Linked DNA regions of Stegostoma tigrinum. The protein of the gene in region 2 purifies or fractionates together with the protein of the main gene of each other region. This does not show direct contact. Links are inferred from orthologs where the notes say so. Each region holds a gene or a part of one and is shown on either strand. Other genes may lie near its edges. The genes, in order: brk1 and wasf2.

Region 1 (15,346 bases), on a different chromosome or scaffold from region 2:
GACATGAGTTAGGAAGCATGGACTGGGAGCAGTTGTTCCATGGTAAGGGAACTATAGACATGTGGAGATGGTTTAAGGAACAGTTGTTGGGAGTGATGAGTAAATATGTCCCTCTGAGACAGGCAAGAAGGGGTAAGATTAAGGAACCTTGGATGACGAGAGCGGTGGAGCTTCTAGTGAAAAGGAAGAAGGTAGCTTACATAAGGTGGAGGAAGCTAGGGTCAAGTTCAGCTAGAGAGGATTACATGCAGGCAAGGAAGGAGCTCAAAAATGGTCTGAGGAGAGCCAGGAGGGGGCACGAGAAAGGCTTGGCAGAAGGAATCCGGGAAAACACAAAGGCATTTTACACTTACGTGAGGAATAAGAGAATGGTCAAAGAAAGAGTAGGGCCGATCAGGGATAGCATAGGGAACTTGTGTGTGGAGCCTGAGGAGGTAGGGGAAGCCCTAAATGAGTTTTTTGCTTCTGTCTTTACGAAAGAAACGAACTTTGTAGTGAATGAAACCTTTGAAGAGCAGGTGTGCATGCTGGAATGGATAGAGATAGAGGAAGCTGATGTGCTGAAAATTTTGTCAAACATTAAGATTGACAAGTCGCCAGGCCCGGATCAGATTTGTCCTCGGCTGCTTTGGGAAGCGAGAAATGCAATTGCTTCGCCACTTGCGAAGATCTTTGCATCCTCGCTCTCCACTGGAGTCGTACCTGAGGACTGGAGAGAGGCAAATGTAATTCCTCTCTTCAAGAAAGGAAATAGGGAAATCCCCGGCAATTATAGACCGGTAAGTCTCACGTCTGTCGTCTGCAAGGTGTTAGAAAGGATTCTGAGGGATAAGATTTATGACCATCTGGAAGAGCATGGCTTGATCAAATACAGTCAACACGGCTTTGTGAGGGGTAGGTCATGCCTTACAAACCTTATCGAGTTTTTTTGAGGATGTGACTAGAAAGGTTGATGAGGGTCGAGCTGTGGATGTGGTGTATATGGACTTCAGTAAGGCATTTGATAAGGTTCCCCATGGAAGGCTCATTCAGAAGGTCAGGAGGAATGGGATACAGGGGAACTTAGCTGCTTGGATACAGAATTGGCTGGCCAACAGAAGACAGCGAGTGCTAGTAGAAGGAAAATATTCTGCCTGGAAGTCAGTGGTGAGTGGGGTTCCACAGGGCTCTGTCCTTGGGCCTCTACTGTTTGTAATTTTTATTAATGACTTGGACGAGGGAATTGAAGGATGGGTCAGCAAGTTTGCAGACGACACAAAGGTCGGAGGTGTCGTTGACAGTGTAGAGGGCTGTTGTAGGCTGCAGCGGGACATTGACAGGATGCAGAGATGGGCTGAGAGGTGGCAGATGGAGTTCAACCTGGATAAATGCGAGGTGATGCATTTTGGAAGGTCGAATTTGAAAGCTGAGTACAGGATTAAGGATAGGATTCTTGGCAGCGTGGAGGAACAGAGGGATCTTGGTGTGCAGATACATAGATCCCTTAAAATGGCCACCCAAGTGGACAGGGTTGTTAAGAAAGCATATGGTGTTTTGGCTTTCATTAACAGGGGGATTGAGTTTAAGAGTCGTGAGATCTTGTTGCAGCTCTATAAAACTTTGGTTAGACTGCACTTGGAATACTGCGTCCAGTTCTGGGCGCCCTATTATAGGAAAGATGTGGATGCTTTGGAGAGGGTTCAGAGGAGGTTTACCAGGATGCTGCCTGGACTGGAGGGCTTATCTTATGAAGAGAGGTTGACTGAGCTCGGTCTCTTTTCATTGGAGAAAAGGAGGAGGAGAGGTGACCTAATTGAGGTATACAAGATAATGAGAGGCATGGATAGAGTTGATAGCCAGAGACTATTTCCCAGGGCAGAAATGGCTAGCACGAGGGGTCATAGTTTTAAGCTGGTTGGTGGAAAGTATAGAGGGGATGTCAGAGGCAGGTTCTTTACGCAGAGAGTTGTGAGAGCATGGAATGCGTTGCCAGCAGCAGTTGTGGAAGCAAGGTCATTGGGGTCATTTAAGAGACTGCTGGACATGCATATGGTCACAGAAATTTGAGGGTGCATACATGAGGATCAATGGTCGGCACAACATTGTGGGCTGAAGGGCCTGTTCTGTGCTGTACTGTTCTATGTTCTATGTTCTATTTCATTTCTTTGAAACTTCATTGTGATTTGTACAACTGAATGGCTTGCCAGACCATTTCAGAGGGCAACTGAGAGTCAACCACATTGCTGTGGGCTCCATCTCAGCTTGACCAGGTGAAGGTGGCAGATTTCCTTTCCTGAAGGACGTTGGTGAACGAGATGTGTTTTTCCGACATTTGGTTTCATAGTCACCAGCAGATTCTTAATTCCAGATTTTTTTAAAAAATCGAATTCAAATTCCACTGTCTGCTGTGGTGGGATTCGAACCAGGATCCTCAGAACATTAGCTGAGTTTCTGGATTTAAAAAAATCTAGTGATAATACCAAGATAATAAAATGTGAGGCTGGATGAGCACAGCAGGCCAAGCAGCATCTCAGGAGCACAAAAGCTGACGTTTCGGGCCTAGACCCTTCATCAGAGAGGGGGATGGGGTGAGGGTTCTGGAATAAATAGGGAGAGAGGGGGAGGCGGACCAAAGATGGAGAGAAAAGAAGATAGGTGGATAGAGTATAGGTGGGGAGGTAGGGAGGGGATAGGTCAGTCCAGGGAAGACGGACAGGTCAAGGAGGTGGGATGAGGTTAGTAGGTAGATGGGGGTGCAGCTTGGGGTGGGGGGAAGGGATGGGTGAGAGGAAGAACAGGTTAGGGAGGCAGAGACAGGTTGGACTGGTTTTGGGATGCACTGGGTGGAGGGGAAGAGCTGGGCTGGTTGTGTGGTGCAGTGGCGGGAGGGGATGAACTGGGCTGGTTTAGGGATGCAGTTGGGGAAGGGGAGATTTTGAAACTGGTGAAGTCCACATTGATGTCAAGATATTGATATCAATGTGGACTTCACCAGTTTCAGGTATCAATGTGGACTTCACCAGTTTCAAAATCTCCCCTTCCCCAACTGCATCCCTAAACCAGCCCAGTTCGTCTCCTCCCCCCACTGCACCACACAACCAGCCCAGCTCTTCCCCTCCACCCAGTGCATCCCAAAACCAGTCCAACCTGTCTCTGCCTCCCTAACCTGTTCTTCCTCTCACCCATCCCTTCCCCCCACCCCAAGCCGCACCCCCATCTACCTACTAACCTCATCCCACCTCCTTGACCTGTCCGTCTTCCCTGGACTGACCTATCCCCTCCCTGCCTCCCCACCTATACTCTATCCACCTATCTTCTTTTCTCTCCATCTTCGGTCCGCCTCCCCCTCTCTCCCTATTTATTCCAGAACCCTCACCCCATCCCCCTGTCTGATGAAGGGTCTAGGCCCGAAACGTCAGCTTTTGTGCTCCTGAGATGCTGCTTGGCCTGCTGTGCTCATCCAGCCTCACATTTTATTATCTTGGATTCTCCAGCATCTGCAGTTCCTATTATCTAGTGATAATACCACTTGGCCACCTCATTAATTCCACTTGTACACACACAGAGCAGGAATAGTAGCCTGATGTCAAACTACTTCTTGCCCAATGGTTGATTTTGCTTTTAAAAAGAAAATGGTTCAAAGGCTAAGGGGAGATAAATATCTCACGTGTTTGTGTATCCCTAAGAAAAATAACAGCTACCTTCTACCCAGCAACTACAGTAGTTACAGGAAAGCTCTGCGCATGCTACTGCTCTGGCTGAAGGAATCTGTAGAGAGAAGTAATGGGAAAAAAGTTCACTTTATTTTTATTTTAAAAAGTCTTTTAAGAAACAAGTTTAGTAAAGTATCAAATTTGATGTTGTAACAGGTAAAAACATTTCTGGTAAGCTGTGTAAATCAAGGTGACAAGCCTTAATAATTGCCTATAAAACATCATGATAAAATTAATTTTATACCGTGCAGTTAAAGTCGGTATGGGGGAATCGATGCTGATCTCAGTAAAAGCTGAGCTTTCTGAAGCACGAAAGCCCCCTGCAAGTTTTGGTGCTCTGCTGGTGATAGCTCTCCCAAATACAGAATCAACGGAGCTGAGTTTGACGGGATGAGGTTTATGTATGATTGTTGCATTATCATATTCATCTTCTGAAGTGTGGCACATCTCAGAAGTGAGTTTCCCTGTGTCCCCTAGAAGATCCAAGAGATTCCAGTCATCAGTTGCGACGTCATTTTGCAGGTAGAGGGCCACTTCTTGGTCTGATGGTGAAGACATCTGTATGATCTCCGTTCCATCTCGTTTCTGAAGGGACTTGCGACCGTATCTGACCCATTGAAAATGATCCTCAAATGGAGTCCAGGGATGCCACACTTGATAGGTGGTCATCTTCAATTGTAAAGATCCCAAAAGATCAGGTTCATGAAAAGAGGGGAATTGTCAAGTTATTTATGGTTATGGTGGAAAAAAATCCAATTGCATTTGAAGATTATTTTTGACATTTGCACTGTCATATAATGTTAAACTCAAAATGCAACAACTACCATATGTCATTAATTTAGAGCAATCACGGCACCCTATTAGAAGAAGGCTAAATTTCAAAACTACTTATCCTTGCATTCAAATACCTCTATAGCTTTTCTCATCCCCATCTCCACCCCAATTTTGGACTTGTACATTCCTGGCTTTAATCCATGCTTAGTGATTAAGTATTGCTGGAGTGGAAATTTCTGCAAGTGAAAATTCCGGACAGACTGAACTGGAACTATACCGTGCCCCATCTCTAGCCACTTACGAAAAGGTGCTGTTCAGAAGGACATAAAAAATTTGGTGAGTGGGAAGATTGTTGGCAAGTGAAGTTCAATGCAGTGAATTGCAAAATGATAGATTTTGGTAAAGCCATGGAGAAATTATATAAAGGATGAAAAAAAAGGCAATGATTTAGTGGCATTATCGCTCGACCATTAATCCAGAGGGCCTCATAACATTCCCGGGACCCAGGTTCAAATCACATCATAACAAATGGTGGAATTTTACTCTATAAAAATCTGGAAAGAAGAGTCTAATGATGACTGTGAAACTATTGACAATGGCAAGGAAAAACACATCTGATTCACTTTCGGGCAAGGAAGACAAAGAATAATACAGCACAAGAACAGGTCCTTTGACCGTCCAAGCCTGAACCGTTTTGCTGTTCCATACTAAAACTGTCTTCACTTACAGGATCCATACACCTCTATTCATGTATTTGTCCAGGTGCTTCTTGAATGTTGCTACTGTGTTTGCTTCCACCACCACTCGTAGCAGTGTCTTTCAGGCACTCACCACCCTTTGTGTGAAAAACTTGCCTCTGCTAAAAATCTTCCATCTTTATCTGGTATGGCCTACATGTGACTCCAGACCCCCAGCAATGTAGTTGATTTTTAACTGCCTTCTGGGTAATTAGGGATGGGCAATAAATGCTGGCACTAGCCCACATCCTGTGGATGAATTTAGGAATAAAAAGCAGAGGGACGTTGGTATATTAAGTGCATAAGTCATTAAAAGTGACAGGATCGGCTGAGAGTACTCATGAAACATATAATAGCCTAGGCTTCATAAACAAGAAGCACAGGGTACAAGAGCAAGGCGCCAATTTGAAGTGAAGGTACTGGTGTCATGGTAATATCACTGACCTAATAATTCAGAACCCCAGGATGCCATCTGGGGACTTAGGCTCAAATCTTGTCATGGCAGGACTTGAAAATTGAATTCAATAAAAATCTGAAATTAAAAACTAGTCTAATTGAAGTAGTCAAAATTATGAAAAGTCTGAGTAGACATGAATGGGTTGAATGGCGTACTTCTGCATTGTAACAATTCTGTGTTATTATTTTAATGTTTCAGACTTTTTTTTATTGCTGCAGTACCAATGTTTAAAAGTTAGGACAAGAGCAATTATCCACCCCCTCCACCCCCCCCCCCCCATTCTTTTTACCAGTGTTTGGCAGTATTACCTTCAGCTTTCAAGGCCTTAAGCTTTAAAATTCCCTCCCCAAATCTCTTTGCCTCTGTCTCTTCTTTTAAGGCACTGAGACAGGTATGTCTTGGACCGTGGGAGTTTTGTCACCTCTTCTAATGATTCTGTTGGTTAGATGTCAGTTTTTGTCTGAATATACTCCTGTGCGGGACCTTTGCTATTTCCAAGGAGGATGAACCAAAACTACAAAGAAATAAATTGGAACGAGTGAGGATGATATGCGAAAATGAGAAAGAAAATTGGAAAATTGTTTTACTAAGATGCTGCTTGGCCTGCCGTGTTCATCCAGCCCCACACTTTGTTATCTCGGATTCACCAGCATCTGCAGTTCCCATTATCACTGACTGTATAACCAGCTTTTGATGCCAGAAAGGCACTGTATTAAGTTGTGAAGAAGACATACGGAGTCTGCAAAGGGATATAAATAGGTGAAGGGCAAAAACTCGGCAGGTTTAGTTTAAACTCACGTACAAAAACATAACATTGTTTAAATGGAGAGCGATGGCAGAACTCTACAGTACAGAGGAATAAGGATCTCTTGGTACAAGAATCACAACATTCAGTCATAATGTCATACAGTACAGAAGAGGCCCTTCAGGCCATCAAGTCTGCACCAAACTTGACACCAATCCCACTTTCCAGTACTTGGCCCATAGCCTTGAATGTTAAGGCATTTCAAATGCTCATCCACAAATGTTTTAAAGGTTGCAAGGTTTCCTACCTCAACTTCCCTCCCACGCAATGCATTTTCAGGTTCCTACCATCCTCTAGCTGAAAAGATTTTTCATCAAATTCCCTCTCAGACTCTTCTCCTTCACCTTCTAAATAAAGCCCCCTTGTTATGTCCTTTCAACAAAGGGGAACAGCTGCTTCCGTTCCAATCTGTCCATAGCCCTTGTAATCCAATACACTCTGAAGGGTTCTGATCTGAAATGTTAACTTTCCTGCTCCTCTGATGCTGCCAGGCATGCTGTGTTCCTCCAGCTCCACACTGTGTTATCACCTCAAACAGGTCATCCCTCAATCTTCTTAAACAACCTGAGCTCATCCAGCCTCTATGTGGCTAAACTGCTTCATCCCAGGCAACATCCTGGTGAATCTCCTCTGCAGGTCCTCCAGTGCATCACATCCCATTATGGGCGGCACGATGGCTCAGTGGTTAGCACTGCAGCCTCACAGTGCCAGGGACCCAGGTTCGATTCCACCCTTGGGTGACTGTCTGTGCGGAGTTCGCACATTCTCCCTGTGTTCTGTATGGGTTTCCTCCAGGTGCTCCGGTTTCCTCCCACAGTCCAAAGATGTGCAGGCTATGTGGATCGGCCATGCTAAATTGCCCATAATGTTCAGGGATGTGTGGGTAATAGGGGAATGGGTCTGGGTGGGCTGCTTCAAGGGGTGGTGTGGACTTGTTGGGCCGAAGGGCCTGTTTCCACACTGTAGGGAATCTAGTCTAAATTCTTTCTATATAATGCAGCTACATTAAGTGATTCAAAAGGCAAATTGAACATTTTCTTTTGCTAATTGCAAGGAGGACGGAATATAAATGTATGAAAAGTTTGCTACAGTTGTACAGAGTGCTGGTGAGACCACATCTAGAGTTCTGTGTACAGTTTTGATCTCCCTACTTATGGGGAAGAAAAAACATGATTTGCATTGGAAGCAGTGCAGAGAAAGTTCTTGGAATGAAGGTGGGGTAAATTACTTTGAAGAAATAATGTACAGGCTAAGTCTGTGGCCATTGGAGTTTGGAAGAATGAGAGGTGATCTTTTTGAAACATATCCTGATGGATGCCCAACATATGTTTCCCAATTTGGGAGAGTCCATATGATGGGTTACAGTTTAAAACAGCTCTCTTAGTTAAAATACAGATGAAGAGAAAAATGCTTTCTCATAAGGTTGTGAGTCTGGGAACTCTCTTCCTAAGGCTCTCTGATTTTTTTTAACGCTGATTTTGATAAATTCTTGACTAAGTAGGGAGTAAAAAGATATACAGGAAAGTTGAGATCTCAATCACATCAGCCATAACTTCATTAAATGGTGAAGCTTGCTTCAGGGGTAGAATGGCCTATTCCTAGTTCATCTGTTTCAACCATGCTTCTGCCCCCTTTGCAATTTTCATAATTGTCTAAATTTACCCCTTGTTTAATCATTACACAAATTGGTGAATGGGCTCTCATCGTGCACTGATATTGTCCCTACCTCCCAGTCGGAAAGCTGGCACACTAGTTTTGCATGCTCCATAGGGTGTGTTATACACATTCGGACAAGTTGATTAAAATGAAATCGCGACGTTTGGCGAAGTGATTGGGAGATGACGCCGTGCTAGCATTGTGGAAACCTGTAGTCGGGTGAGGGGACGGTGGTTTGCCATTTTGAGGATGGTTCGATGGGAACTAGACTTGACCTGAAGCAACATATTTTTCGGAAACGCTCACCTTTCCGATCCAAGGGGATCAGGATGAAAAAAAAACCTGGAAGGTAGGGGCTGTTTGGTCAAGTCGCACGTTCTTAGCCTCCTGATATGATGTATTTATTCGGTGAGGCATGAAAATTGCGTTCGGTTGCCTGGTTACCTACTAGGCGAATGTGTCAATGTCCATGCAACAACAACTCGATACAGCGGGATGGCAACGTCATAATGGTTGGAACGTTTGGTGATGTCTAAAGACTCTAACTTTGATACTGCATTTTTGGAAACACAAGGTTCCAAAGAAAGAGACTGCACATTTTACCAATCAGCTGGATCTGATACCACTGTTTCTCCAAGGATGAGCTTTTCCCAACAATTTCTGACTTTTTTTAAATTTCTGAGCTCCAGCACCAGTATTTTAATATTTTGTTGCCTTCATATCTATTACTGTTTCTCTCTTTCTGAATGAGTTTGAAACCAACTGGTAATTGTCACCCCGCCCTCTCATAACTTCAGCAATCCTCCAAATCTTCGATCTTCCTTTCGAGCAATTGAACGGTTCTCACCCTCGCCACTTTTCCACACCCACTCTAAAATCTCCACCAATCAAAGTTCTCGCCAATAGACTGACCAATAGGATTTTTATTTCCACGGAAAGGCGGTACCATCTTTTACGTTCTGCCAATGGAAAATCTTGTCTCGCCTTTCCCGCACCTCCAGTTCCACTTCTGTCCAATAGTCTTCGAGGAACTCGCGTCTCTGGGTCGTATGTGACCAATAAGATTGTCTAGATGGCCGGGTTTTGTGTTGCTCTGTCCAATCAACGCAGCGATTACAGTATCAGGGCGTTCCGGTCCGGGAGGAGGAGAGGGGAGGGAGAACTCGTTTGTTCTTTGGGCTATGGCGGGGCAGGGGGATCCGGTTCAGAGGGAGATCCATCAGGACTGGGCCAACAGGGAATACATTGAAGTGATCACCAGCAGCATCAAGAAGATCGCGGATTTCCTGAATTCATTCGGTAAGAAGCCTCCGGTGACAGCGCACCCACCAAAGCATTGCTTCCTGTTTAAGTCTGACTTACTGGGTGCCAGGAACGTAGGGCCTGGTTCAGCTGATGTCCTACGTTTGTCGCTGGCTTTAACTGTCGACGGTAGGGAGGAAGTTAAATTTGCATTTACTCTCCAGAGATCGTTTTAAAGGGTTATTTCGCGATGGGGCGGTGACGAACGGAAGAGACGTTCCAAATTGAGCTGTGCTTCCTTTTTGCCTATCAGTCGCCTCGCCCTGTCGTTCGTGTGTGAATCAGAGGGCTAGTAGCTATTTGACCAGAGTGGAGCAAGCTCGTCTCGGCTGGCCTTCAGACAGGGGTTACTGAAGCTAATTCGAATGCCCCACTTACCAGTGAGACGAACTCACTTAATGCAGTCTGGACGTTTAACTGGTTTTAAACTGTTCTGCGTAATGGACGTAATTGTAATGTCATGTCTTAGTTATGTTTAATAAAAGCAAAACAGTGGTGTTGGAGGTCTGAAAGAAGAACAAAAGTGCTGGAAAAAATTCAGCAGGTCTGGCAGCACCTGTGGAGAGAAGCAGCGTTTGCGTTTCGAAATCTACATGACCTCACTACTGAAGAAGTCTTACCAGACTTAAAATCCTAATTCTTTCTCTCTTCCCAGATGCCACCAGATTGCTTCAAAAATTATCAGCATACAGCGTAGAAGAGGCATTGAGTAAAAGGATAGACAAGTTGTGCTGCAGCTTTATAGATCTTTAGTTAGGCCACGCTTGGAATATCGCATACAGTTCTGGTCACCAGAAGGAAGTGGATGCTTTGGAGAGGATACAGAAAACGCATACAAGGATGTTGCCTGGTATGGGGGCTTCTAGCTATGAAGAAAGTTTGGATAGACTGAATTTGTTTCCCCTGGCAAGCAGGAGATTGAGGGGCAAGCTGATAGAAGTTTATAAGATAGAGTGGAAAGTATGAGGATTTTTCCCAGGGTGAAGAAGTCAATTACTAGGGGACACGCATTGAAGGTGTGATGGGGAGGGAAGCTTAAGAGATGTGAAAAACTTGCTGTGCACACAAGAGGTGGTGAGTACCTGGAACACACTGCCAGAGGAGGTGGTGGAAGTAAACACAGTAGCAACATTCGATAAGCACGGAGATGAATATATGAATAGGAAGGGAATAGAGGAATATGGATCCTGTAAGTGAAGACAGTTTTGGTATGGAAGGGCAAAAAGTGTTAGTATGGTCTTGAAGGGCCTGCTCCTGTGCTGTATTCTTTGTAAGAGACCCTTCGACCTCTATCAAGTCAAGATGGGCTTTTATTAAGGTAAATAGCCAAAGTCATTTTCCCAGGGTAGGGGAATCCAAAATAGAGAACGTAGCTTTTAAGGTGAGAAGAGAAAGACATAAAAGGGATCTAAGAAGGAACTTTTTCATGCAGAGGGTTGTGCATGTATGGAATAAGCTACGTGAGGTGGTGGAGGCTGATACAGTTACAGCATTGAAAAGCAGCTGAATGGATACATGATTAGGAAGGGTTTGGAGAGATATGGGCCAAATGCTGACAAATTGGACTAGATTAATTTAAGGTATCTGCTTGGTGTGATGAACTTGGACCGAAGGGACTGTTGCTATGTTGCATATCTCTATGACTCTGCGTCTTACTACCAAAAATGAACTACTATTTACACCAGTCCCACTATCCTGCACTGGGCCCGTATCCTTGAAAGTTGTGACACTTTGCTCATATGAGCAAAGATGATATGCTCATCCAAATACTTTGTAGAGGTTGTGAAGCTACCCTCCCAGACAACACATTGCAGAGCCTCATCGCACTCAGTCAAAAGGTTTTCCTCAAATGTCCTTTACACCTGCCTTTCAGTTTTGAATTATGTTCCCTTGTTGTTGTTGTCCCTTCCATTAAGGGGAACAGATGTTTTCTATTCACTGTCTGTGTGCCTCAAAGCCCACAGAAAAGTACAGCACAGGAACATTCCTTAAGCCCGCCATGTCTGTGCTGACAGTGATGCCATTCCGAACTAGTCCCATCTGTGCGCACGTGGATAGGAAAGGTTTAGACCAAATGCCAGTTCAAGTTAGAAAATCTGGTTGGCGTGGATGAGTTGGGCTGAAATGTCTGTTTCTGTACTCTGACTCAAGTTTTTCTACCCCTCTCTGCAATCTTATACACCCCTATCATATTCCGTCCTCACCATTCTGTTCTCCAAAAACAAAACATCCTGAGCATATCCAGCCTCAGTCCGGGTTGGAACATTTCAGCTGAGAACAGTGTCCAGGTGAATCTCCTTTGCACCCTTTCCAATGCAATCAGTCCTTCCCGCAGTCAGGTGACCAGATCTGCACACACTACCCCGACCTGGCCTAACCAAAGCCCTGTACAGTTTTAACATAACCTCTCTGCTGCTATAATCTGTCATGACTGATGAAGGCAGGCGTCCTGTACGCTGCCATAGCTACCCCATTAACCTGTCCTGTCACCTTCAGGGATTGATAGACCAACACCACAAGATCCATCAGTTCCCCTGAGCTTCCTGGTGTCATACCATTCATTGCATACCCCCTTAAGCTTATTCAGTATGTTCTGTTCTTGGTTAACATATGAGATATGATATAGGCCTTGCAGATTTCGCATATAAAGCTGCAGCATAAGTTGCCTATCCATTTACTCATTGCCTCTTCCAGTGAAGGCAAGCATTTTTACTTCGTATGGAAGGGTAAAATGTGCCAGCACAGTTTTGGAGGGGTGAAGAGCCTGTTCCTGTGCTGTATTGTTCTTTGTTCATTATCAGTTGATCATTGATATTTTTCACTCAACCTGTTCAGACATGTTACGATGCTTTGGAGCAGGTGGGAACTTGTAGGGACATGCAGGCCATGTCGATTAGCCATGGTAAATGCAGGGTTACAGGGATGAGGGGGCTAGGTAAGATGCTGTTCAGATGGCTGGTACAAATGGCCTCTATTGGCACTGCAGGGATTGTATGATTCTTTGACTTGAACCTGGAGCTGCTGACCCAGATGCAGGGACTCTACTGCTGTGTAACAAGGGGCTGTAAAATAATTTGACCCTTTACAATGACCATCGGGATACATGGTAACCAGAAATCCGATAAGTAAATAATTCAGAGGAAGTATCTTTACCCAAGTTGCAGAACTCACTTCACAGGGATGGTCAAGGGAAATCAGTTTACCTTTGCAGAAAAACCTGACAAACCTGTGATGGAGAAGATTATAATGGCAGATTGAGTTGAGGAAAGATAGGAGGGGGCTCATAAACCTCTTGTGGGAAGTCTAGGACAAGCGGGTATAATCTCAGTATGCCCATTAATACAGAGAGGAGGAGGAATTTCTTCTTTCAGACAATTGTGAGCTTGAGTTTATTGCACAGAACTGTTGAGTCTGCATCATTTTAAGAGTATTTCCAGGCTGAGAGAGATTTTTGTTTTATTTGGTAAGGGGTATGGGGAATAGGCAGGAAACTGGAGTTGAGGATTATTAGGTTAGTTGTGATCTCACTGGGTTCCTGGACAGACTCAATGAGCTGAATGGTCTGTTTCTTCACTTGCATCTTACAGTCAAAAATGGCATGGACTGATTGAGCTGAATGATGCGATCCTGTGCCTCAGATCCTGTCGTGAAGAGAAAAATGCTGCAATACTATCTAATTACTTATAATCTGTTACCTGAAGTTTGCTATTTTTTTCTTTGTGAATTACCTGCTGCCTTGTGTTAGTTAAGTCTAAAGCAACAGTTCATTCATAGCCATCAAATTGGGAATCTGTAAAGAAGAGCATCTATAATTCTGTAACATCAGTGAATTCCATCTCCATGTTAAAGGAAGCTTTTTTAAGGTCTCCTTTACCCTGTTAGCAGGACAGGAACGCTCTTGCCTAACTTCCAACACTACTTCAATACTTCAGTAGAGACTGTGAATAATTTTCCAGCAAATGGGGCGGCACGGTGGCTCAGTGGTTAGCACTGCAGCCTCACAACGCCAGGAACCCAGGTTCAATTCCAGCCCCAGGTGACTGTCTGTGTGGAGTTTGCACATTCTCCCCATGTCTGCGTGGGTTTCCTCTGGGTGCTCCGTTTCCTCCCACAGTCCAAAGATGTGCAGGCTAGGTGGATTGGCCATGCTAAATTGCCCGTAGTGTTCGGGGTGTGTGGGTTATAGGGGGATGGGTCTGGGTGGGATGCTTCAAGGGCCGATGTGGACTTGGGCCAAAGGGCCTGTTTCCACACTGTAGGGAATCTAATCAAATTCTTCACCTTCTTGAGTTGAGGTAAAAATGTGATCATCTGATGCCATATGCTTGTTGTGTTAATAGGGTACAAATGTTTTACCTGATGGAGGTCTGGTAGTTAGATAAGCATGTGTATTTCATAGAATTCCTACAGTGTGGAACAAGACCATTCAGTCCATCAAGTCCACAATGACCTTCTGACGAGCATCCCAACCTGAGCCACCCCTCTCCCTATCCCTATAACCCGTCATTTAGCATGGCCAATCCACCTAGTGTGCACATCTTTGGACTATGAGAGGAAACTAGTGTACAGCAGAAACCCATGAAGGCACAGGGAGAAAATGCAAACTCTAGCTGGAATTGAACCCAGACCCCTGGTGCTGTGTTGCCCTGCCTAAATGGGAAAGCATTTGTTTGAATAAGGTTGACTTTCGAGTTGTAATGAAAGTTCCGAAATGATTGATCCTATCGCTTTAAGAAGAGTATTTTGACCTGTTGTTTTTCCATTGAAGAGAGGTCTTGAGACAGTTGCAAAGCTGTCTATTGAAAGCCCATGTGTGTGTGTGTGTGTGTGTGTGTGTGGGGTTTTTTTGTTAGAAACAGTTGCAGCAATGCGGTCCAAGCTCCCACAGAACCAGGATTTTTGGTAGCTGTTGCTGAATTTTAATCTGGGTTTGGAAGCTGCAGTACATCTTTCCCTGCTATCCTCTCTCTCAGAATTTTCTCTTGATGTTTTTCCTCCTGGACTGAAGAATTGCTTGTCAGACAATCAAGTTTTCTGGATTTGACAGGGGTGTGTTTGTGGGATGTTATGATACTGGAACATGATCTATTGTTCTGTTCAGTTTTCCAGTAGAGTTAAGTTATTCCAATTTCTTTTTTTCTTTTATTGTAATTTAACTTTAGTGTATGAATAAAGTGTGTTTTGCGCCAAATCTGATAGTTTGACCAATCAAATTGCATCCAGAATGCAACACCTGGCACTTGCCTTTAAAAGAAAAAATAGTTAGCGTCAAGGCTAACTTAATTTTGAGGGGGTTTGGTGTGGTTCATAATATGATTGAGTTTTGAAGTGTTGTTTCTTCTGCCTATGCTTTTTTTTGTAGCCTGTGGTTTGAGTACTTGTGAGAATCAATTAATGCTCCCTTCCTGATTTCCGAGCGCGCTCTCTGGCCTGCCCACAAACATAGCTCGGCGAGTTTCTCATCTCAGCTATGAGATGAGCTTAATATGGGCCATAACTTGCCACTCTGAACTCTTATTATTTGTAACTGCTGCTACTGTGCAACCAGGGAGGAACAATTCTAGTCAAGCAATTAATTTTATTTTATCTCGGACAACGGACTGGGTCACTTCCTCATAGTTGTGCTGAGCTGCCTCCGGAAAGCAGATGTAAATAACAGACAGTTCTGACTTGCAACCAAGGCTTAAAATGCTGGGTTTTTTAAAAAAATATGTAGTGGAACTCTTTCTTGGCTTTATTTTTGGAATAATGTCGTGATGTCTTAATCACTTTCCTACAGATACGTTCAGCTTTTAGAAGAGGTTAGATTGGTTATTGTTTTTAAAAAATGGGCATTTTTAAATCAGTAAGAATTCATATATCATTTACTTTTTTTGATTCCCATTTAAAGTCAAAGATTGACCCCCAAACTTTCCTGCTGTCC
Region 2 (15,051 bases):
AAGCTATTGATCATTGTTGGAGCTGCACCGATCCAGACAAACGGAACATATTCCATCACAGTCATGACTTATTCTTCATAGAAGATGCAGCTTTGGCAGTCAATAGGTGATTGTATTCATTTGACCTACTCTTGTAGCCACACCATTTATATGGTCGATAAGATTCAGTTTCATATTTTTGGTAATATGATGAGATGGTCATTGCCTGGCACTTGTGTGGTAAAAGTGTTACTTATCTCTTATTAGCTGAAGCTTAAATAATGTCCCAGCCCTGTTACATTTGGACAAATTGAATATCTCAATTTCTGGCCTTGTGATGGAGGGAAGGTCATTGATGGAGCCATTCAAGATGGTTGGGCAGAGAACATGCCCTGAAGAATTCCTGTGCCAGTTTCATGGAAGTGAGATGACAGGCCTTCAACAAACACTGCAATCTTCCTTAAGGTTAAATGTGGCTTCAGCCAGTGGAGAGATTTTTTTGATTCCCACCAACTTAAATTTTATGAGGGGTCCCTAACATATTACAAGCAACTGGTTATTCTGTTGACTACAAAAGCAAGAATAAAGTGGAGTCAGATCACAGGGAAGCCATGATTGATTTTCAGAGCTCTGAACCCACACCATCCAGCAAAATAGAAAGAAATGATAAAAGCCAAGTAAGAATACGGCAGTGGCTCAGTGGTTAGCACTGCAGCCTCACAGCGCCAGGGACCCGGGTTCGATTCCCACCTTGGGCGACTGTCTGTGTGGAGTTTGCACATTCTCCCCGTGTTTGCGTGGGTTTTCTCCGGGTGCTCCAGTTTCCTCCCACAGTCCAAAGATGTGCAGGTTAGGTGGATTGGCCTTGCTAAATTGCCCGTACTGTTCAGGGGTGTGTGGATTATACAGGGTAGTTCTGGGTGGGATGCTTCAAGGGTAGGTGTGGACTTGTTGGGCTGAAGGGCCTGTTTCCACACTGTAGGGGATCTAAGAATCTAATCTAAATAAGATCAGTTATAACTTTTGTTATTCATTTTGGTGAGCATCTGATTGGAATATCAATTATTATATATAAAAATTAGCCTTACTGCATGTGACAAACTAACTTCAAATTATACTGAAGGGAAGGAAAAACATGTTTTGAACATCTGCTGTCAATCTCACTTTGTGCTAGCTTTCACAGCAACATTTTGTACATTTGGAGTTACATAGTTTTCACTCAGTTAGCATTTACAAAAAATGCAGTACAAGCTGGCATATTTTTGTCACAGAGGTCAAAGATGATTGAATTTTTCAAATCCTATTTACCAGATTAATTATACAACTGCTTAATTTATGAAACAGTTTAGAGTTGCATGCCATGTATAGACTTTAGTAGATTCTGAAATTAAGATTTCAATATCAAGCGGTCTTAATTGAACAGATAACAATTTAGGAGTCAAACATCATAACTCCTGCACTACCTGCGACAATTAAAAACAACACAAAATGTAACCAACAAGGTTCGTCGTACTCCTCTTCTTAAAAGGATTGAGCATAAAATCATTGAGGAAACTACACAAAACAAAAAAACTTCCATTGTATGTAAACAGAAGTACATGCTGTAATCAAGAAACAAGCTAATGTTTCTTCATATAAACAAATTATCTAATTACATTTACCCCCGCTGTTCCTATTCTCTTTATCCACCTCTCCAATCTAATCTCAAAAGCTAACACAGCTCAGTATATCCAGCCAAATATTTCAGAGAGTCTGGTCAGCTTCATTATTCTCTTGTCTCAACAATTACAAAATTAATCGTTTATGCTTGTTACGCTAAGTTTATGATGTGCAAAGGTTATTAAATGCTACAGTCGAAACATTTGTATTTGCAAAAACACATCCCTTTAAGTTCATGAGATAATGGGAACTGCAGATGCTGGAGATTCCAAGATAATAAAATGTGAGGCTGGATGAACACAGCAGGCCAAGCCGCATCTCAGGAGCACAAAAGCTGACGTTTCGGGCCTAGACCCTTCATCAGAGAGCTCTGATGAAGGGTCTAGGCCCGAAACGTCAGCTTTTGTGCTCCTGAGATGCGGCTTGGCCTGCTGTGTTCATCCAGCCTCACATTTTATTATCCCTTTAAGTTCATGCCCATTTACAGCAAATCATAGCACAAGGATGCCCATCAAACCATTGTCTCTAGGTCCAGATAATATTTATAACTCCAGTCAAAATGCCTTTAAGTCATGTAATTTGCTACTTTCAGCATACAGACAGCAAATTCAGTGTCACACAACCTAGCCTACACATTAAATGAAGAATTAAAATATTTAACAGTGCCTCAAGAATTTATTGAGGTCAATGTTTACTGTAAAATAGAATGCATTGAAGAACATTTAAAAATATCTGATGTTGCCTGGTTTAATGACACTCTTCAGTTTACCTTATTTAAATACTATATAATTCAAAAACATTTTCCAGCTAACTTCGCAGAATTATGGTTAAGTAAAACTGCCTGGACACAGTAGGTAGCTGAAATTAGCACAGGTATTACATGTGCTCATCTAACGTTTTCTGATGGGCATACTAGTGTCAGCAGAGCAACAGTCTTCCTTAAATCCTGATAATGGTGTATATTCTGCAGGAACGTCAGCCATGGCAGTTTACAGCAGTCTCACTTCACTGTCATAAGGTATGAGATTCAGTTCCCACCCCAGGGCTTCAGGAGAAAAGTCAAAAGACTCAGTCCAATGCTGCACCAAGGGAGCACTGCTGTAACAAAGGTCACTATTTAATCACAAGTTGGCTGTTGTGTTTCCTACGCTATAAATGACTAGGCTTCAGAAGCAGAGATAACAAAAAATTTCAGAAAATTTTCTGAAAAAGGGTCTAGGCCCGAAACTTCAGCCTTCCTGCTCGACCTGTGTTCATCCAGCTCTACACCTTGTTATCTCAGATTCTCCAGCATTTGCAGTTCCTACTATCTCTGAAGGCTTCAGAAGAACTCCACTTGTCAGGTAGTCTTGAAATATGGTATATAAAGGCAGGTCTTTTTCCTTTATTTCATCCTCATGCTCCTATGAGGAAGCAAGTTAAAAGGTCCGGGCAGAAGAATTCTTAGATGACAGACTGGAGTGGATGGGGGTAACTATATTTTGCTTTTTCCTCTTTCCTTAACCCCCATGAGAAAAATCTGACAATGATGCTCCAGGGCTGTTAAATGTATTACCAAGGGATCCTTTAACTCTGAATCAGTGTCAATGACATTAAATACGAACATACCAAACAGAAATTTGGATTGTCCAAAGACTAATCAGAAATAGCCTGTGGCGAATAAAATTTCCATGTTGCCTTCAGAGCAACACATTTCTTAAAAATCTTAGAGACTTCAAATTCCAAGAGCTTACTATCCTTTGTAAAGGCCCCAAAGGCTTCAGCGAGTTAATGCCAAAGATTGCTTTTTAATTTACCACCCGAAATTTGGCTGTGGTGTAGAAGCCCACCTTGCCCTGAGATTCAAAGCAATAACACCAAGTTTTTAGGAGCAAACATCTTCAACATGAAGATATGCAACCTCCAACTTACTGCCAGCTCCTAAAGTAATTTAATTACTTACAAGTCCCACGATCAGAAGAAAAATAAACATTGTGGCCAGTATGCAGTCCAGGTCTGGTGTTTGGTCAATTAACAAGACAACTAACTAGATTACAAGTCAATTTCTTTCCCCCCACCCCGCTCCAGTCTTTTTATAGTAAATCTACACAACATTTTGAAGATTTCTGATTACATCAGATTCTGATGTGTTGCATCTGTTAATTGCAACTTCTGGCTCTAGAAAAAGCTTACATTTTTAGACTTCAAAACGCAGCTTGAAACTAATCAGATTCAAATGTCTTCCCTCAACATACATTACATACAAAAGCAATGGCTTGTGGGAAGACAAGAATAGCTGCGTACACACCCAAGTATGACTCAATGATTGGAATGGCTGTGCAAACGTTCAACATTATGACATGCCAACTTCTAACTTTGCAACAACATACCAGATTCTATTTTGACAAACAAATGTCTTTTTCTTGATAAGACAAGCCATGGGAAAGAAAGACATTTTGAAAGCTTCACAGTACTTTTTCTTTAAAAAACATTACACTAAAAACCAGGGCAACAAAATATATTTTCTTTAGGAAATTCCATCAAATTACAAAGTTCAACTTTATTTCAAATAATCCAATTGAGGAAGAATAAAAAGTATGAGAAATGAGGTGCCTTCCTTAACAGCAGACAGAAAGGTTAAATTCACCACAATCCGGAACAAAGTATTTCCCCCTTCCTCAAAATGAAAGTTTAAATGACCAAAGTGGGCAATTGCACAAAGCTTTGCCTGAAATTGAAACATTTTGGCAATTTTTCCCATCTCTTATGTCAAGAAAATCTAACCAGTTTATGGCCATTGATTTTCAACACCAAACAAATACAACTTTCAATAATGTCAAGGCAAATATTACTAAACTCTTAAATAGTACAAAGAACTGCAGATGCTAGAGATCTGAAACAAACAGAAGTTGCTGCAGAAACTCATGTGGCAGCATCTGTGGGAGAAAACAGTTAATGTTTCATGTCTTCTGTCCACTCTTCAGAACAGATTCTGAAGGAGCTACAGGACTCTGAATGTTGCGCTTTCTCTCCACCAATGCTGCATAAACTCATAGCTGCCAAACCTATCTCTGTTTTTGTTTTTTGCAAAGCCTTCTTTTCCTCAATTATTTTCAGTTGCAGGCCCCAGGATGAGTCCTCAATGCTGATTGATGTCAACAGGGTTCAATTTTTGCACTGGTTGTAGTGGTATAAGAGGCCATTGGGCCCATTGTATCTGCACCAGCTCAATAAACTAGCATCATTACCTCACGCCAACCTCCAGCTTTTCTATCATTTCCTAGCACATTATTTTCATCTAAATAATCAATCATTCAGTGCCCTGTTGGGTGGGGGGAGGCAGCGAGGGGCGGGGGTGGGGGGGTGGAAGCGGTGAGGGGTGGGGTGGAGGTGGAAGCGGTGAGGGAGGGGGTGGGTGAGGGGAGGCGGGGAGGGGGGGAGAGGGCTGGAGGCGGAGGGGGGGTGGAAGTGTAAGCGGTGAGGGGGGGGGATGGGTGAGGGGGGGAGAGGGCTGGAGGCGGTAGGGGGGGGGATGGGTGAGGGGAGGCGGGAGGGATGGGTGAGGGGAGGCGGGAGGGATGGGTGAGGGGAGGCGGTGGGGGGGTGGGGAGGGGAGGCGGTGGGGGGGGGAGGGCTGGAGGCGGTAGGGGGGTGGGGAGGGCTGGAGGCGGTAGGGGGATGGGTGAGGGGAGGCGGTGGTTGGGGGGGGTGAGGGGAGGCGGTGGGGGGGGGGGGGTGGGTGACACGGCTGCCCCCGGCTCCGGGTTGAACGCTCACTATTCGGCACAAACTGAAGCCGCGGCCCACCACACCAAGTTCGAAACCTCCGGGGCCGTAGCCCGAAACGGCCCAGATGAGAAGACGTGACAGACAGAAACTCACTCGAACTGATTGCCGACGCGAACCCGCATCTTAGAAGACAACCGCCATCCGCCCTGATTCCCCCCAACTCTCCACCATAGCCACACCCACACAGGGGATTCCAGATCCGCTTCCGGTACATCCGCATTCTGATTGGACAACGCAGCCGGCAATCATACTGACAGCACACGTTTGGTGGTGTGAGCGTGTATCCGCGTTTGATCCGGGAGAAACCATTACGGATGGAGGAGGGAGAAAAATATTTAATAACAATGAGATATACACTTAAAACAGGGGTAGCTCTTTTAATGCTTCATTGTTCCTGGTAAAAAATTAAAATCAAATTTTGCTAAGTCAGGACGGGACAAGAGGTTGACTAGAGAATTTCTTCTGGGACCTGTATATATTACGGTTTACCCCTCTTCATTGGGCGTTATGGTCTTTTCCAAATGTTGCACATACCTCAACAGGTCTGAGCAAAACCTGCAAAAATCGGGGAGGAAACACTGTCAGATTACAGAGAGGGGGGGGGGGGGGGAGAAACTGTCAGATTACAGAGAGTGGTGGGGGGGGGGAGAAACTGTCAGATTACAGAGAGTGGGTGGGGGGGAGAAACTGTCAGATTACAGAGAGTGGGGGGGGGAGAAACTGTCAGATTACAGAGGGGGGAACACTGTCAGATTACAGAGAGTGGGGGGGGGAGAAACTGTCAGATTACAGAGTGAGGGGAGGGGACACTGTCAGATTACAGAGTGTGGGGGGGGGAGAAACTGTCAGATTACAGAGAGTGGAGGGGGACACTGTCAGATTACAGAGTGTGGGGGGGGAACACTGTCAGATAACAGAGAGTGGGGGGGAGGCACTGTCAGATTACAGAGTGTGGGGGGGGAACACTGTCAGATTACAGAGAGTGGGGGGGAGGCACTGTCAGATTACAGAGTGTGGGGGGGGGACACTGTCAGATTACAGAGAGTGGGGGGGAGGCACTGTCAGATTACAGAGTGTGGGGGGAACACTGTCAGATTACAGAGAGTGGGGGGGAGGCACTGTCAGATTATGGGGGGGAACACTGTCAGATTACAGGGGGGAGGGGGACACTGTCAGATTACATAGAGTGGGGGGGCACTGTCAGATTACGGGGGGGAGACACTGTCAGATTACGGGGGGGAGACACTCAGATTACCGAGGGGGAGACACTGTCAGATTACAGAGAGTTGGGGGGGACACTGTCAGATTACAGAGAGTGGAGGGGGACACTGTCAGATTACAGAGTGTGGGGGGGGGAACACTGTCAGATTACAGAGAGTGGAGGGGGACACTGTCAGATTACAGAGAGTGGGGAGGGGGAGACACTGTCAGATTACAGAGAGTGGGGGGCGGACACTGTCATATTACAGAGAGTGGAGGGGGGACACTGTCAGATTACAGAGAGTTGGGGGGGGACACTGTCAGATTACAGAGAGTCAGGGGGGAACTGTCAGATTACAGAGAGTGGGCGGTGGGGGGGGGGGAAACACTGTCAGATTACAGAGAGTGGGGGGTGTTGGGTGGGATACACTGTCAGATTACAGAGAGTCAGGGGGAGACACTGTCAGATTACAGAGAGTGGGGGGGACACTGTCAGATTACGGGGGGGAGACACTGTCAGATTACGGGGGGGAGACACTCAGATTACAGGGGGGGAGACACTCAGATTACAGGGGGGGACACTGTCAGATTACAGAGAGTGGGGGGAAACACTGTCAGATTACAGAGAGTGGGGGGGACACTGTCAGATTACAGACAGTGGGGGGGAACACTGTCAGATTACAGACAGTGGGAGGGGAACACTGTCAGATTACGGGGGGAACACCATCATATTACAGAAAGTGGGGGGTGGAACACCGTCAGATTACGGGGGGGGGAACACCATCAGATTACAGAGAGTGGGGGGGAAACACCGTCAGATTACAGTGAGTGGGGGGGGGGGAACTGTCAGATTACAGACGGGGGGATCACCGTTAGATTACAGAGAGGGAGGAGGGACACCGTCAGATTATAGAGGGGGGGGAACACCTTCAGATTACAGAGAGGGGGGAACACTGTCAGATTACAGAGACGGGGGGAACACCGTCAGATTACAGAGGCCGGGGGACACCATCAGATTACACGGTGGGGCGGGGGGGAACACCGTTAGATTACAGGAGGGGATGCACTATCAGACTACATAGTTGGGGGACACCATCAGATTCCATACGGGGTGGGAACACCGTCAGATTACAGAGGGTTGGGGGACACCATCAGATTACAGGGGGGGAACACCGTCAGATTACAGAGAGGGGGACGCTGTTTGATTACAGAGAGAGGGGAACACTGTCAGATTACAGAGGGGGGGAATACTGTCAGATTACAGAGGGGGAAACACCGTCAGATTACAGAGAGGGGGACACTGTCTGATTACAGAGAGAGGGGAACACTGTCAGATTACAGCGGGGGGGAACACTGCCAGAAATACGGCGGGTGGGAGAATACTGCCAGAAATACAGAGTTGGGGGGAGCACGGTCATATTGTAGAGGGGGGGAATCACTGTCAGATTACCGGGGGGGGGGGGGGCGGGGGGGGGGGGATTCTACCAGATCACACAGCAGGACAGGGGGTGCCAGAACAGCCAGATTACAGAGGGTGGGAATCTACCAGATCACAGAGAGAGGGGATTCTGTCAGATCAAAGAAATAGAGGAGGAGACCGCCTGATTGCAGAGGGATGGGATATTGTCAGGTCACAGAGAGAGCAGGATCTACCAGATCACACATAGTGGGGGAAGGGTGGACTGTCAGATAACAGAGTGACGGAATATACTAGATCACAGATTGTGGGGGCAGGGACCATCAGATCACAGAGAGTAGGGCTATCTACCAGATCACTGGTAACGGAGAGACTTTCAGATCACAGAGAGAGAATGGGAACTGCCAGATCATATAGCTGCCAGGATATATATATAACTGCCAGGAAAGTTTAAGGAAGATATGCGTGGATAGTTCTTTACACAGAGGGTGGTGGGTGCCTGGAACGCGTTGCCAGCGGAGGTGGTAGACGCAGACACGTTAGCATCTTTTAAGATATATCTGGACAGGTACATGGATGAGCAGGGAGCAAATGGACACAGACCCTTAGAAAATAGATGACAGGTTAGACAGAGGATCTCGATCGACGCTGGCTTGGAGGGCCGAAGGCCTGTTCCTGTGCTGTAATTTTCTTTGTTTTCTTCTTTGTTGTATCACCGAGAGAGGTAAGGATCTACCAGATCACAGATAGTGGGGAGGCTGTCAGATCACAGAAAGTGATTCGGGAGGCGGGATCAACCAAATTGAAGATAGTGGGTGTGGGGATTGTCAGATAACAGGGCAGCATGGATAACTGCCAGATCATACAGAGAGAGTGTGGGGATTGTCAGATCACAAGAGAATGAGGGATATACCAGCTCACACAGAGAGTAGGGGAAGTGTCAGATGACAGAAGCAGAGCATGTGGGAGGCTATTAGATCACAGAGAAAGAACAAGGGACCTACCAGATCACAGACAGAGAGAGAGAGAGCATGGGGAAAGTGTTAGGTCACAGACAGAGAGATACAGAGAGGGAGGATAGGAGACAGAATGATGATAGAGCTTTGTGGCTCAGACTGGAGGCCTGTGATTAGCAGTGTGCCATGGGGATCAGTGCTATGTTTACTGTCGTTCATCATTTACAGAAATGATTTGGATAAGAATATAGGAGGCATGGCTAGTACTTCTGCAGATAACGCCAAAACAGTGTAGAAGGTTACCTCAGAGTGCAACAAGATCTTGATCAGCTGGGCCAATGGGCCAAGGAAGGTCAGAGGGATATTAATTCAGATGAATGTGAGGTATTGCATTTTGGTTAGACAAACCAGGACAGGACTTACACAGTTAATGGTATAGTCCTGGGGAATGTTGTAAGGCAGAAAGATCGAGGGTACAGCTACATAGTTCTTTGAAAGTGACCTCACAGGTAGAAAGGGTGGTGAAGAAAGTGTTTGGTACGCTTACCTTCATTGGTCAGAGCATTGAGTATAGGAGTTGGGACATCATGTTACAACTGTACCAGACGTTGGTAAGGCCACATGTGGAGAAATTCATACAATTCTAGTTGCCCTGCTATGGGAAGGATTTTATTAAATTGGAAATGGCACAAGAAAGATTTTCAGGAATGCTATCGAGACTGGGAGGTTTGAGGTAAAGGAGAGGCTGCATAGGCTGGGATTTTTGTTCCCCGGAGCATTGGAGGCTGAGAGGTGACCTCATAGAGGTTTATATAATAATGAAGGACATCCTTAAGGTGATTAGCCAAGGTCTTTTCCCCACGGTTGGGGAGTAGAGGGCATAGCTTTGAGGTGTCAGGGAAAAGACTTAAAAGGGACCTTAGTGGCAACTTTTTCACACAGAGGGTGCCAACTACATGGAACAAGCTGCCAGAAGTAGTAGTAGAGAAGAGTACAATTACAACACTTAAAAAGACATTCGGACAGGAAGGGTTTAGAGGGATATCAGCTAAATCGCTGGAAAATGTGACTAGTTCAGTTTAGGAAATCTGGTTGGCATGGATGTTTTGGGCCGAAGGGCCTGTTTCCGTGCTGTATGGCTCTGTGACTCTATGACTGTCAGATCACAGAGAGAGAGAGAGAGAGAGAAAGAGTGAAGTGGCACTGTCAAGTCACAGAGGGTGCGAGAGAAAGAGAAAGAGTGGGGGCTGCAAGAACGCAGAGAGAAAGAGAGAGAGTGAGGTCTGCAAGAACGCAGAGCGAGTGAAGTCTGCAAGAATGCAGAGAGAGAGGGGGCTGCAAGAACGCAGACAGAGAGAGAGTGGGGCTGCAAGAATGCAAAGAGAGAGAGTGAGGTGTGAGAGAGAGAGTGAGAAAGAGAAAGAGTGGGGGCTGCAAGAACGCAGAGAGAGAGACCGAGGGCTGCAAGAATGCAGAGAGAGTGGGGCTGCAAGAACGCAGAGAGAAAGCGAGAGAGTGAGGTCTGCAAGAACGCAGAGAGAGAGGGGGCTGCAAGAACGCCGACAGAGAGAGAGTAGGCTGTAAGAACACAGACAGAGAGAGAGTGGGGCTGCAAGAATGCAATGAGAGAGAGTGGGATGTGAGAGAGAGAGAGAGAAAGAGAAAGAGTGGGGGCTGCAAGAACGCAGAGAGAGAGACCGAGGGATGCAAGAATGCAGAGAGAGTGGGGGCTGCAAGAACGCAGAGAGAAAGCGAGAGAGTGAGGTCTGCAAGAACGCAGAGAGGGGGCTGCAAGAATGCAGAGAGAGTGGGGGCTGCAAGAACGCAGAGAGAAAGCGAGAGAGTGAGGTCTGCAAGAACGCAGAGAGGGGGCTGCAAGAATGCAGAGAGAGAGGGGGCTGCAAGAACACAGACAGAGAGAGAATGGGGGCTGCAAGAATGCAGAGAGAGAGAGTGAGGCCTGCAAGACCACAAGACGTCCTATATATGGTTATGGCCTGTTAATGTTCATTAACAAGAATCTAGGCCTTGACTCACTGTATTTCAAAACTAACTTTAGTAGATATTTAAAAAATTCTAGATGTGTGACAGGATATGTGACACCATTGAAATCATTAAAAAGTACCGCTGTAATTTGTGTTACATTTCAGCCTTCTGTCTGACGTTTTCCATTCATGCTTCACATTAGAAGTTACTGTTCATTGCCAACTAGTACCTCATATGTTAAGAGAAGCATTGTATTCCCAGGGTAAGCAATCAAACCCTTTATATCTGTTTTGAAAACAATATGAACCATTCTTGTAACTTCTTGTCTTGACAAAGACATTGGAAAGTTCTATTCTGATGGCTACACTATTTAATTAATATTATTAATTAAGTTAATTAATTAGTGTACTAATTAATATTTATTAAGGGACAGAAATAACACACAGAACAATTGGAACCAATAGTACTTTGTATTTACACAGCACCTTAAAAGTGGTAAAGATACTTTACAGAAACATTGAAAAGACAGATTTGACACTTATCCAGATATGAAGTAGTTCTAAGGAGTGTCTTTAATTAGCAGGAAGAGGCCTGGATGGGGAGATTTAAGAAAAGAATTCTGGAGATGAAGGCGGAGCAGTTAATATTGGGCAAAAAAACACTAAAATAACAGCAGATGCTGGGAATCATAAACAAAAAGAGAGATTACTGGAAAAGCTCAGCAGGTCCGGCAGCTTCTACTGGGTGAAATCAGAGTTAATGTTTCTGGTCCAGTGATCCTTCTTCTGAGTTTTTCCAGCATTTCGGTTTTTGCTGTTGATATTGGTATTGCTGAAGAGGCCAGAAATGAAGGAGCACAGAGAACATGGAGAGCTGTGTGGCTGGAGAATATTAACAGGAAAAACTAAATCAAGAGGCAGAATAACTGAAATTGTCACGTAGGGTCAAAAACATGAACTTTAATTTGCTTTATACAAATGCTGCAAGGCCTGCTGTGTATTTCTAGTATTTTCTGTTTTTATTTCAGATTTGTAACATTTGCTACAGTTTGCTTTTGATTTAGAAAGAGAACTGATCACTTTATTTCTGGCCTATACTTTAAAATAGCGATGAAAAATTCATATGTAAGCAATACTGTTTCTTGACTGACAACTGTGCAAGGAAGTGAAAGGCTGTTGGGAATAAACAGGAATGTGGTGTTATTAGATCAACCATGGACTTACTGAATGATGGAGCAATCATAAGCTCCCTTTCCGGATTCGTACTTTTCTATAAACAAGAAAAAAGTGGTAACTGCAAATGCAGGAAGTTAGAAACAAAAACAGTAATCGTAGAATCCCTACAGTGTGGAAGCAAGCCATTCAGCCCATCGAGTCTACACCAACTCTCCAAAGTATATCCCACCCAGACCCATCCCCTAAACTATAACCCTCCATTTCTCATGGCTAACCTACCTAACTTGCACATCCCTGGCACAATGGCCAATCCACCCTAACCTGCACATCCTTGGACTGTGTCAGAGATAGTAGGAACTACAGATGCTGGAGAATCTGGGATAACAAGGTGTAGAGCCTAGACCCTTCTTCAGCCTGAAACATCAGCTTTCCTGCATATGATACTGCTTGGCCTGCTGTGTTCATCCAGCTCTGCACCTTGTTGTCTCATCCTTGGACTGTTGTAGGAAAGCGGAGCATCTGGGGGAAACCCACACAGTCAATGTGCAGACTCCACACAGACAGTCACCCAAGGCTGGAATTGGACTTGGATTCCTGGCATTGTGAGGCAGCAGCACCAACCACTGAGCCACCATGCTGCCCATAGAAGTTGCTGGAAAAGCTCAGCAGGTCTGACAGCAACAGTGGAGAGAAATCAGAGTTAACATTTTGGCTTCAGAGACCCTTCTTCAGATTGGTTGGTAGCGTGGATAAGTTTGGTACTTATGCAGAAGATATGGTGTGGAGGGAAGGGCAAGGAGTAAACGGTGGGTGGAGGTAGAGCCCAAAGAGAGAGAAAATCAGTTGGACTTAAAGAGGAGTGGGTAAAGGTCAGCCTGGGAGAATGAACAATTGCTAATGGGGATGATTAGTAGCTGGCAATAATTTATGTGTGGTAATGACCTGTGTGATGACAAGGCTTGGATGAACACAGCAGGCCAAGCAGCATCTTAGGAGTTGCTGCTTGGCCTGCTGTGTTCATCCAGCTCTACACTTTGTTATCTTGGATTCTCCAGCATCTGCAGTTCCCAATATCTCTGATGACAAGGCCTGGTGTGTGGGTTTTGGGGTAAAGAGGCCCTAAAATAAAAACCCCGAACTTCCGATTACCTGCCACTTCAACACACCACCCTGTTCCCTGGCTAACATCTGTAACTCGGGCTTGCTGCAATGCTGCAGTGAAGCCTAGCACAAGCTTGAAGAAAAGCATCTTCAACACAAGTTCTTAGGGAAAAAAATGAGAAAAGTAAAGAAAAGTGTTACAGCGCAGAAGGAGGCCTTCAGCTAGTCATGCCTCTACCAGTCAACAAAGATCGATTAGGAGTTATTTCATTTTTTAGTCTTTAGCCCGTAGCCTGAAGGTGATGGTGATACAAGTGCTCACCTAAATTCTGCTGAAATTTTATAGGAGTTTCTGATTTATCCAGCCCTTTAGGCAGATTCCCACACCCCTGTGAGTAAAAAACATTCCCCTCAACCCTTCTGTTAGCCTCTACTTCTCTCTGAAATGTATATCCACTGGCTATTGACCTCTCTACTAATAGACAACGTTCTTTTCTGTCTGTGGTATCAATGACCCTCCTAATTTTACACACTTCTATACCCTCAACCTTTGCTGGAAACACAAGGAAAACACCACCACAGCCCATAAAACCACAACGCATGGAAGCAGCATTAAGTCAGTCAACCAATCCTCTATCAATGCCAGTACCTTGCCTTTAACACTTTGGACTCTTTTCTTAATTAGCAGATTACTGTGCAGCTCCTTGTCAAAAACCTTCTGGAAATCCAAATCAATCACATCTGCTTTGGCTAACTTGCTTGTTACCTCCTCAAACAACTCTGACAGATTTGTCAGGCATGACTCCCCTCGATGAAACTGGCGTTGAATCAGCCCTATTTTACAATGCATTTCCAAGTTCTCTGCAATCTCATGCTTAATAATGGGCTCTAAATTCTTACCAACGATTGAGGTCAGACTAACCAGTCTACATGTTTCCTCATCATAAGATGCCATTTCTGCCACCTCCAGCGAGATGCCACCACCAGACACATATTCCCCTCCCCTCCTTTGTCCGCCTTCCGCAGGGATTGTCCCCTCCAGGACACTGTGGTTCATACTTCGTTCAGCCCACAGCCCCAGAAAAGTTTTTTGATGGCGGGTCTAGGCCTGAAACATCAGCTTTTGTGCTCCTGAGATGCTGCTTGGCCTGCTGTGTTCATCCAGCTCCACACTTTGTTATCTCGGATTCTCCAGCATCTGCAGTTCCCATTATCTCTGATCTTTTCCTTGGTGATGGCCACTACACTCTCTCCGCCCTGACTCACTTGAACTCTTGTAAGGTGCTGGTGTCTTCCACTGTGAAAACTGATGTCTTTTAAAACTAAAGACTATTTAGTTTCTATGTTATTTCTTTGTTCTCCATTACACCATCTCCCGCCTCATTCCAGCTTCTCCCTCTCGAGAGATTTCTTCACCTTAAGTTCCCTCGTCAAATCTGTCTCATTTACATCACCAAATGCAGAACTGCCTGTTTCCTAGTGGGCTGTATCACAATAAAAAGCAAAAGAACTGTGGATGCCGTAAACCAGGAACGAAAACAAAGTTGCTGGAAAAGCTCAGCAGGTCTGTGAAGGAAAAAATAGTTAACGTTTCGGGTCCGGTGACTCTCCCTCAGAACAGGGACTCTATCACAAGCTGCTCCAAAAAAAACATTTCATAGATATTCCACATATTCTTTTTCCTGAAATCTTCTCCCAACCTGATTTTCCCAGCCCCCCCCCCCACCTGCATAATGAAGTCCCGTAGGGTTATTGTAATAGTAGGACATGCTTTCACTAGCTTTTGAATTATTTGCTTCCCCACATCCTG

The links.
Region 1: the proteins of wasf2 (region 2) and brk1 purify together in Homo sapiens (co-immunoprecipitation; 3 studies listed by BioGRID and IntAct, with this or other methods). This does not show direct contact. The link is inferred for Stegostoma tigrinum from reciprocal best matches to the Homo sapiens genes WASF2 and BRK1.

The regions. Positions count from the first base shown.
Region 1 is NC_081364.1:11,922,477-11,937,822, reverse strand, and holds the start of brk1 (probable protein BRICK1), read left to right. Parts: upstream 1-9,246; 5' UTR 9,247-9,302; coding exon 9,303-9,420; intron 9,421-15,346. Other genes in the region: FANCD2 opposite strand protein-like, read right to left, coding at 3,828-4,361. UniProt on the Homo sapiens protein: Involved in regulation of actin and microtubule organization. Part of a WAVE complex that activates the Arp2/3 complex. As component of the WAVE1 complex, required for BDNF-NTRK2 endocytic trafficking and signaling from early endosomes.
Region 2 is NC_081377.1:43,676,897-43,691,947, forward strand, and holds the start of wasf2 (wiskott-Aldrich syndrome protein family member 2), read right to left. Parts: upstream 5,634-15,051; 5' UTR 5,500-5,633; intron 1-5,499. UniProt on the Homo sapiens protein: Downstream effector molecule involved in the transmission of signals from tyrosine kinase receptors and small GTPases to the actin cytoskeleton. Promotes formation of actin filaments. Part of the WAVE complex that regulates lamellipodia formation.